Linked DNA regions of Saccharomyces cerevisiae S288C. Changing the gene in region 1 together with any one later gene gives a genetic interaction. Each region holds a gene or a part of one and is shown in the gene's direction. Other genes may lie near its edges. The genes, in order: MSO1, GDI1 and RHO3.

Region 1 (3,057 bases):
GATAGAAAGTAGCACAGAATTTGGCTTAATGGTATATAAACCGTAGGGTCCTGGTAAAATTACATGGGAAGGATCCTTAGGCAGTAGGGAAAACTTATCAGGACAATTGAGTTATATTAACGTATTATATATTTTAATATGGGAAAGAACGTTTTGTTGCTAGGATCTGGTTTTGTTGCACAACCTGTTATCGACACATTGGCTGCTAATGATGACATCAATGTCACTGTCGCATGTAGAACATTAGCCAATGCGCAAGCATTGGCCAAGCCCTCTGGATCCAAGGCTATTTCATTGGATGTTACCGATGACAGTGCCTTAGACAAAGTTCTGGCTGATAACGATGTTGTCATCTCTTTGATTCCATACACCTTCCATCCAAATGTGGTAAAGAGCGCCATCAGAACAAAGACCGATGTCGTCACTTCCTCTTACATCTCACCTGCCTTAAGAGAATTGGAACCAGAAATCGTAAAGGCAGGTATTACAGTTATGAACGAAATTGGGTTGGATCCAGGTATCGACCACTTGTATGCGGTCAAGACTATTGATGAAGTTCACAGAGCTGGTGGTAAGCTAAAGTCATTCTTGTCATACTGTGGTGGTTTACCAGCTCCTGAAGACTCTGATAATCCATTAGGATACAAATTTTCATGGTCCTCCAGAGGTGTGCTACTGGCTTTAAGAAACTCTGCTAAATACTGGAAAGACGGAAAGATTGAAACTGTTTCTTCCGAAGACTTAATGGCCACTGCTAAGCCTTACTTCATCTACCCAGGTTATGCATTCGTTTGCTACCCAAATAGAGACTCTACCCTTTTCAAGGATCTTTATCATATTCCAGAAGCCGAAACGGTCATTAGAGGTACTTTGAGATATCAAGGTTTCCCAGAATTTGTTAAGGCTTTAGTTGACATGGGTATGTTGAAGGATGATGCTAACGAAATCTTCAGCAAGCCAATTGCCTGGAACGAAGCACTAAAACAATATTTAGGTGCCAAGTCTACTTCTAAAGAAGATTTGATTGCTTCCATTGACTCAAAGGCTACTTGGAAAGATGATGAAGATAGAGAAAGAATCCTTTCCGGGTTTGCTTGGTTAGGCTTGTTCTCTGACGCAAAGATCACACCAAGAGGTAATGCTTTAGACACTCTATGTGCACGTTTAGAAGAACTAATGCAATATGAAGACAATGAAAGAGATATGGTTGTACTACAACACAAATTCGGTATTGAATGGGCTGATGGAACTACCGAAACAAGAACATCCACTTTAGTTGACTATGGTAAGGTTGGTGGTTACAGTTCTATGGCCGCTACTGTTGGTTATCCAGTTGCCATTGCAACGAAATTCGTCTTAGATGGTACAATCAAGGGACCAGGCTTACTAGCGCCATACTCACCAGAGATTAATGATCCAATCATGAAAGAACTAAAGGACAAGTACGGCATCTATCTAAAGGAAAAGACAGTGGCTTAAATAAGAAGAAATGTATCAAAAGGTTTATCATACGTAACAGTAACGGCACTTTATAAATCTTTCTTTAGTATTACTTATACTTTCATAAGGAAACGTAAAAAAAAAAAAACCGGAAAGAGGGACAAAATGGACTAGAACGTAATTGAGAGTGTAGTTCCTGAAGCTTGAACCGCTAGTAAGTCGTCTACCTTTAGTCTAAAAAGTATTGGCTATTGCATTTTATAGTCTTGCTTCTGATCAGAACGTATTAAATGAGCTCGTAAAGACTCTTAGGAGTTTTTCACTTTTAGAGATTAATACTATTAGGAAAGGTGCAAAAAAATAAAACGCCAACTAACTATTAGACGCTAGGCCCTAATACCAACTACCAGTATAACTAAGATTTCACGCATATGATGAGTCAAGTATCGCATTCCCAAGAAGGATCCGGGCGATTTTGGAACAAGTTTAAGTCGTCAACCAAATCGTTATCTACATCGTTGGCACATTTATCCATTAAAGCAGAAAAAGATGGTGATACTGTAAATACTACATTGGTCCATAAAGGGCTTGTGAAATTCTATGAAAATCAGCATCCTTTCCAGGGGTTCCCAGGATGGTTGGGGGAGAAGGAAGATTTACCGAACGAACGTAAAATATTAGATACTCAAGTGAAGCATGATATGAAGAAGCAAAACTCGCGTCATTTCTCGCCATCCTTTTCTAACAGAAGGAAGGCTTCTTCAGAAGATCCTATGGGTACACCTTCTTCAAACGGGAACACACCGGAGTACACGCCTGCGAGTAAATCGTTTCAAGATATATACAATAATCATACAAGCTCCTCTAGCGCGACACCGAGAAGAGCTTCATCACGGCCGACTAGACCTTCAGCAGGCCAAGAATTCAGGGCAAGTCTCGGTCGAAGTAAAACGTCGAACAGTTTCAACACCTCCAGCACGCCAACGCCGCCACCAGACGCAAGTAGTGGAGTAATGGCAATGAAGGACAGACTAAAGAGACGCAATAACGATTATGGATTTTAAATAGCACTATACCTTGCTGAAATAAAGCGAAAAGAACATTTAATGAATATATAGGTATCGTATATGTACTGAATAAAGTGTTTGATACAGAATGCAAGGAGATAATATAGTATGGTATATAACCTCGTCCTTATTTTGAATATACATGAAATTACAACGCTTCCCTAGAGACCGAATCAAACGCAGGGATTTTATAGTAAATGATAATCAATCATAAAATTTCTCTCAATGGAATACTAACGACACTACTCTCATCGAATGGGGTATCGCTGTTCTCAAAATTTAGGTAGCTATGATCATGCATAGGTCTTGGTTTGAAGATGACTTTTATCAGGAATAGTATGGCGAAAAGAGTTGCAATCCCGGCAACAATCAAATAAACAATCCCTAATGCCTCGTTTCCAGCACCGATAATACTGTTTGTGGTTAATACAAAAGATTTTGTTCCATAGAAAGATCTTACTGGGTAGTTGAGTTCTATATCAGCAATGTAAATACCCTTACCTAACCCATTGGTCTCATTTTTCATTGCTAGCTTATAGAAGTTGGGCAA
Region 2 (3,888 bases), on another chromosome or scaffold:
CGTGCAAATGGGTATCACAATAGCAGGGCCAAATGGTGTAGTCCAAATCGAAGGCGGCCACGTCAGGGTATCCAGTCATAATAAACGCGTTGAGACTATTTTGGAGCAGGATTTGTAACAAAATTGTTCTCTTTGTAAGTTTAAGGACAAAAATGCTTGTTTCTCGAGAAGGTCTCCTTTTCGGCAGGTCCTTCTTCTAGTGCGTGAAAAATATTCTACTCAATCCCTTAGTATTCTTTGTAAACAATACACTTTAAAGAAATATGAATGCTTATCTGCTTTTCAACAATCATTTTAGAGTTCTTATTCACTGAGGTGCGAATGGGTACGAAATTTGTTTCAGGAGAATTTAGCTTGTTGCACACAAATTTCTGCCATTTATATCTGCAAGATCTGTTTCCCTCTTTCCAACTAGCGAGGCATATTAGAAAAAGAGTGAATAGTAACTTGTGTAAGTTTTGATGTAACGGTAGTATAGAGTACCTATAATATTCGCCGATTATATTCTCAAAACTTGTAAATAACGCCATGTCACCGTATGGAGAAAGTGCTAACCAAATTGTAATATCGACCAAGACCTTTTTCTGTGAATTATGTAAGTTTCTTAAAGTCCATGTCATGCTTGAAAGATTTTAATCAACCTTGCATTTGTGGTCGTTAAACTCAAAGGGGATATTCAAACGACAATCGACAACTAACTTCGAATAAACTAAGATTCACTTTATTGGGATATAATCAATTACCCTTCATTAAGTGGTGTATATGTTCCTGACGTATTGTCATTTTCGGGATAAGAGGTTTGATGACTATTTCTCGATTTTCATGTCATCCTCTTTACACCGTACGTGATAATACACTAATTACACGATATAACTGAGCAATGATATTTTAGAGCTTCATCTCCACAATTTCATGTGTAAATCTTAAGAATTGTAGATATATTCTATTTTTTAATGAAACTTTTTCAACAAATTAGGTTTCGTGGTCTAGTCGGTTATGGCATCTGCTTAACACGCAGAACGTCCCCAGTTCGATCCTGGGCGAAATCAATTTTTTTTTTCGAAAACGTTATAATTTACGTTAATTTACAAAGGGCATTCCTTTCATACTAAGCAATGTTTACTTCCAATCTCTTGAGACATCTTCGAAACTAGTTGAAAAGAGACAAATCCGCTTAATAACTAATAGTTACAAGAATGGCCAATCAAACTCTTGCCAAGCGATACAAGCTTTACAATCCTGTAACAAAAACATACTTTTAGCGGTTCCGACGGTATTCTTCTTTTTCTCCATATATTTTGCTTATGTTGGCTACTTTAAAATAATTACCGCTTCCCCCACCAGAAACTAAACATGAGCTAAAGGCGCAAAACTTAAAAAATTACATAGCCAAGACTGTTTTCAAGAAAAAAATATCAGACCACATTTGATAAAGTACATACCTCTGTTAACTCCCGTAATACACCCATATTCTTGTACTTTCTACAATCTATCACTCAAACTTCTCTATTATCCAACATCTGCTGTTGCATAGTAAAGTAGGCCGTAAACGCTCAAAACCGTTATCTTTAGGTTACCCTTATGTTTGAATCGTTTATCTCACATTGGCGGTGTTTTCCCCTCTCCTGTGGGCTCCAAAATCTTGGCCGTGGGAAGCTTCAGCGAGGGATTGTAGATGTAGTTTCAACACGTCGGCTGATTTATCCCGATTTTGTTAGTAGAAAAGGTTCTACTTCATTCTTGCTTGAGACGTCGTCCCATCAAATTTCTAACATAGTCTTTTTTCAAGGAAGGATATTTTTCAAAGCAGGACTGCAATTAGTCTTTTCCTTTTCTTTACTCCCCTTCCATCATAACTGTTAGTGAATAACCACTTATATAGCATAACACAATGGATCAAGAAACAATAGACACTGACTACGACGTGATTGTCTTAGGTACCGGTATTACCGAATGTATCTTATCTGGTTTACTCTCTGTAGATGGAAAAAAGGTATTACATATTGACAAGCAAGACCATTATGGTGGCGAAGCTGCTTCTGTGACCTTATCTCAATTGTATGAAAAATTTAAACAAAATCCGATCAGTAAAGAGGAACGGGAGTCCAAGTTTGGTAAAGATAGAGATTGGAATGTCGACTTAATTCCTAAATTCCTGATGGCCAATGGTGAGCTGACAAATATTTTAATACATACCGATGTGACCAGATATGTCGATTTCAAGCAAGTTTCTGGCTCCTACGTTTTTAAGCAAGGCAAAATTTACAAAGTGCCAGCTAATGAAATAGAAGCCATTTCATCGCCATTGATGGGTATTTTTGAAAAACGTAGAATGAAGAAATTTTTAGAATGGATTAGCTCTTACAAAGAAGATGACTTGTCCACTCATCAAGGATTAGACTTAGACAAGAATACCATGGATGAAGTGTATTATAAATTTGGGTTAGGCAATTCTACCAAAGAATTCATCGGTCATGCAATGGCTTTATGGACCAATGATGACTACTTACAACAACCTGCTAGGCCATCGTTTGAGAGGATTTTGTTATATTGCCAAAGTGTTGCCCGTTACGGTAAATCACCTTATTTGTATCCTATGTATGGGTTAGGCGAACTTCCACAAGGATTTGCTCGTTTGTCGGCTATTTACGGTGGTACTTACATGCTAGACACTCCAATTGATGAAGTATTGTATAAAAAAGACACAGGAAAATTTGAAGGGGTCAAGACTAAGCTGGGAACTTTCAAGGCCCCATTGGTTATTGCTGATCCAACTTATTTTCCCGAAAAATGTAAATCTACTGGTCAAAGAGTTATTAGAGCCATCTGTATTCTTAACCATCCAGTTCCGAACACCAGTAACGCGGATTCTTTACAAATTATTATCCCACAAAGCCAACTGGGAAGGAAAAGCGATATATACGTTGCGATTGTTTCAGATGCGCATAACGTTTGCTCCAAGGGTCACTATTTAGCAATTATTTCTACAATCATTGAAACTGATAAACCACATATAGAATTAGAGCCTGCTTTCAAACTTCTGGGACCAATCGAAGAAAAATTCATGGGAATTGCCGAATTATTTGAACCAAGAGAAGACGGCTCTAAGGATAACATTTACTTATCCAGATCATACGACGCATCCTCTCATTTCGAATCCATGACTGACGATGTTAAAGATATTTACTTCAGAGTAACAGGCCACCCATTAGTTCTAAAACAAAGACAAGAACAAGAAAAGCAGTAAATTCATACCTTTACGACTAAAGCAGCAATTGGAGGGTAAACTTATTTTTTCCGATAATGTTCTTGGCAAATGAGTTACCAATAAATGACATGAATTACAGAAAACAAGAAAATATTTGCCAAAAAAAAACCAATACAAAAATATAGGGGAAAAGATTATCCTTTATTCCTTTCTCATTCCACTTTTTTTTTTTGTTATATGCGTATTCTGATTGATTCATAACTAAGTATCTTTCCTTTTCTTTTCTTTCAATTTCTTTTTTCCATATATAAATACATAAATTTACATACCTTATGTAGTATAATATATGGAAGAATGCTACTGAACACATCAGTACACATGCTATGTACTTACAATCTTAGTAAGGTAGATGTAGGTCTAATGCTTCGATGATCCCTTCATTATTTCTTGGGTATAACTGTCAGTCTCGCACCGCAGTGTGCCCTTGTGTGGCCAGCCTCGTGACAAAATGAACATTTTATCTTATTTTTTTTCTTTTTACTACTCTTTTTGCTGGTTACTCCCTGAATAGTGCTCGTAGTTTTATCTGCCTCTTCCTTGGCTTTAATCGGTATCAGGGCATATTTTTGATCGTCTTTTTCCATGATCTCTATTCCATTCCGCAGTACCATGTCAAGAAC
Region 3 (2,941 bases), on another chromosome or scaffold:
ACTATAAAAAAAAATACTCTTTAGGATGCAGACATAAAAGAACAATACGACCGTCCCTTATTTATATATAGTCCATAGAAATAATCTCAACCAATATAATATGCAAGAAAATAACGAAGTAAGGAACAAGCACAATGGTACGCCCGGTCTTGAAAAAGTTTAAAACAGTACTCGACCCTAGGCGCTAGGGTGGGTGACGCATTTTAACTTTGCAACAGAATGCCATATGCGGTGTTAACCTCACAAGATCGGCTCTACTATCTGCAAGCTGCGGCAAATACCAGAGAAAATTCCATTCCCGTCGACAAAATTTAACCGACCCCCCCCCCCCCCAATTTACGTTTATCAGCTAATCCAAATGTGGAAGGGCAACATTCTCGACGACTCCTTTTTCCGTAATTTAAGTTTGCCCAGGCAAAATCTTATACTTGTTTTCGTAAGAGAAAGATGCGCAGATCCTTTAAGGTTACCTTCAAGCAAATCCAGAAGCACAAATGGCAGGGGAGAAAAGACATGAAGCAGGAGTAGTCAACCGCAAAAACCCCCGCGGGCTTGTTGTTCTGCACATTTTTGATGTGTTTGTTCCTAAGACAAAGTCCTAACTTAGGGTAGTAAGTGACTATATTCTGCACGCTCTTAAAGCAGCCACCTCGTTTAATTTTGCATGCTTATATAAGCTTATAAACGAAGTACCTGAGGACCTGCATCGGCCGGCCCATGTGAAAAGGAAGTATTTACTTTTTCTTCTTCTTTACTATGGAAATAGCTGGAATCCGACTATGCATATGCGTAAGAAAAGAAAATGAAGGAGTTTTCACAGGAAAGCACACTTGCATACTGGGCACAAGTGAGGAGAGGGGCCTGTAATGCTTCTGTGTTTAAAAGACTCCGAAATTAGTCAACGCAGATTTGCAGATGCACGCAAGAATACATAATCAATCACAGTAAGCACATCTCCCCAAGGAAAGAGTAAATGCCTTCGAGCCAGCATTGTGGTCATGCGAGATGTCTAAGAAAAATACTTCGATAAGCACGAGGAAATGTAATATGTCTATCTACCTTATTTTTTTTACAATAAACATATAATAAATCCCTTATCTGGTCACGTGAATTAAACTTCGGGTGTGTTGTAAGAATGGAAGGAGTAAGCGAAACTCAAATTGAGGCCACTTACCACTTCCGGTCGAGCCCGGCCCAGAACCAGTCGTCGGCCAACTTTTTTCTTGGAACAGCGTTACCGCACCTACGCGAGAAATAGTAGATTATAGATAAGAAATACAAGGAGAGGGGTGTGGATGAGCTTTTTTACAAAATAGTGTAAGGCGTCCGGGAAACCCCAAGAACGTTTTTTGACATCCACTAACAGGATTACCCGTCATAGATATACTGGTGCCATTACCCGTTAATGGCATCTTGTATATTTCTTTTATCTTTCTTAACATTCCTGAAAATTGGTAAACAGTAAAAAGAAAAGAAAAAGAAAGAAAAAACATGTATTATTTTGAATTTACTGGAAAATAGGCAACCATTGATTTTCGTTTTTTTATCGTTCTCATCTCTAGCTCTGGTCAGCATTTTTTACTTTATAACAACAAGTTTTTCATTAAAATCCATAGTAGCACAAGGTAAAGGGAAACAAACATGTCATTTCTATGTGGGTCAGCTTCAACGTCAAATAAACCGATCGAAAGAAAGATCGTTATTTTGGGCGACGGTGCCTGTGGTAAAACTTCGTTGCTGAATGTTTTCACCAGAGGTTATTTTCCCGAAGTTTATGAGCCTACTGTTTTTGAAAACTATATCCATGATATTTTCGTTGACAGTAAACATATCACGCTATCGTTGTGGGATACTGCGGGCCAAGAGGAATTTGACAGGTTACGATCCTTGTCTTATTCAGATACGCAATGTATAATGTTATGTTTCAGTATTGATTCACGCGATTCTTTAGAAAATGTCCAAAATAAATGGGTGGGTGAAATCACTGATCATTGTGAAGGCGTCAAGTTAGTCTTAGTTGCACTAAAGTGTGACTTAAGAAACAATGAAAATGAATCTAACGCAATCACACCGAACAATATCCAACAGGATAACAGCGTTTCTAACGACAACGGAAATAACATAAATAGCACCTCAAACGGCAAAAACCTGATAAGTTATGAAGAAGGTCTAGCTATGGCTAAAAAGATCGGTGCGCTACGTTATTTGGAATGTAGCGCTAAGCTGAATAAAGGTGTCAACGAAGCTTTCACAGAAGCCGCAAGAGTTGCTTTAACCGCGGGCCCAGTAGCAACCGAAGTGAAAAGTGACAGTGGATCCAGCTGTACCATTATGTAATATAATAAGACACGGACGCACACACAAAAGAATAGAACCCAAAAAGAGAGACTAAACAAATAATATAATAAGTTATAGAAGTTAATAATACTCCTACTATTTTATATTTTTTATGTAATTACTACCACTGCTTAAAAAAAATATTGCAAAATATCATAAAAGTTTTTACTCATCCTGTTCTTTCCCCTCCAGCATGTGCTCGAGATAAGTCGAAGGTGTAGGTTTTCTTTTGGACTGTACGACCAACAAATTACCCTTACTATGGTTACGATTTACGCTACCATCACTTTCTGGTGAATTAAGCAGCTTTCGACTTGGTGAAGATGCAATTTTTGCGGGTTTCCTTATGTCTTCACCCACCTCCTTTTCATTACCGTTATCGAGCGACGATGCGGATGATGAAGAGATTGTAGACACCAGAGAATTTGTAGATACATTATCACTTGTCATAATCACAGGTTTCTGTAATAATCTAGGGCTTTCTTGGTAAAGTTTAGATAGCCTTGTTTTGTATAAGATATCACCTGTTGGTGAAATGAAAAGTGAATTTCTGTTGGATTCGGATGCAAGAGAGAATAGCGGCCTTTCGAAATTACTTAAGAAT

What was found.
Region 2: mutations in MSO1 (region 1) and GDI1 together harm fitness more than expected from each alone (negative genetic interaction), as found in Saccharomyces cerevisiae (2 studies listed by BioGRID).
Region 3: mutations in MSO1 (region 1) and RHO3 together harm fitness more than expected from each alone (negative genetic interaction), as found in Saccharomyces cerevisiae (2 studies listed by BioGRID).

What each region holds. Positions count from the first base shown.
Region 1 is NC_001146.8:712,470-715,526, reverse strand, and holds MSO1 (Mso1p), read left to right. Parts: upstream 1-1,871; coding exon 1,872-2,504; downstream 2,505-3,057. Other genes in the region: LYS9 (saccharopine dehydrogenase (NADP+, L-glutamate-forming)), read left to right, coding at 139-1,479; YNR048W (putative aminophospholipid translocase regulatory protein), read right to left, coding at 2,716-3,057. UniProt on the Saccharomyces cerevisiae protein: Involved in secretion. Component of the secretory vesicle docking complex.
Region 2 is NC_001137.3:437,725-441,612, forward strand, and holds GDI1 (Gdi1p), read left to right. Parts: upstream 1-1,891; coding exon 1,892-3,247; downstream 3,248-3,888. Other genes in the region: YER134C (Mg-dependent acid phosphatase), read right to left, coding at 1-79; YER135C (uncharacterized protein), read right to left, coding at 228-620; YER137C (uncharacterized protein), read right to left, coding at 3,649-3,888. UniProt on the Saccharomyces cerevisiae protein: Regulates the GDP/GTP exchange reaction of SEC4 by inhibiting the dissociation of GDP from it, and the subsequent binding of GTP to SEC4. Plays an essential role in the yeast secretory pathway.
Region 3 is NC_001141.2:138,111-141,051, forward strand, and holds RHO3 (Rho family GTPase RHO3), read left to right. Parts: upstream 1-1,641; coding exon 1,642-2,337; downstream 2,338-2,941. Other genes in the region: pheromone-regulated protein PRM5, read right to left, coding at 2,503-2,941. UniProt on the Saccharomyces cerevisiae protein: Plays an important role in cell growth. Required to keep the uninucleated state. Modulates morphogenesis during bud growth via directing organization of the actin cytoskeleton and the position of the secretory machinery for exocytosis.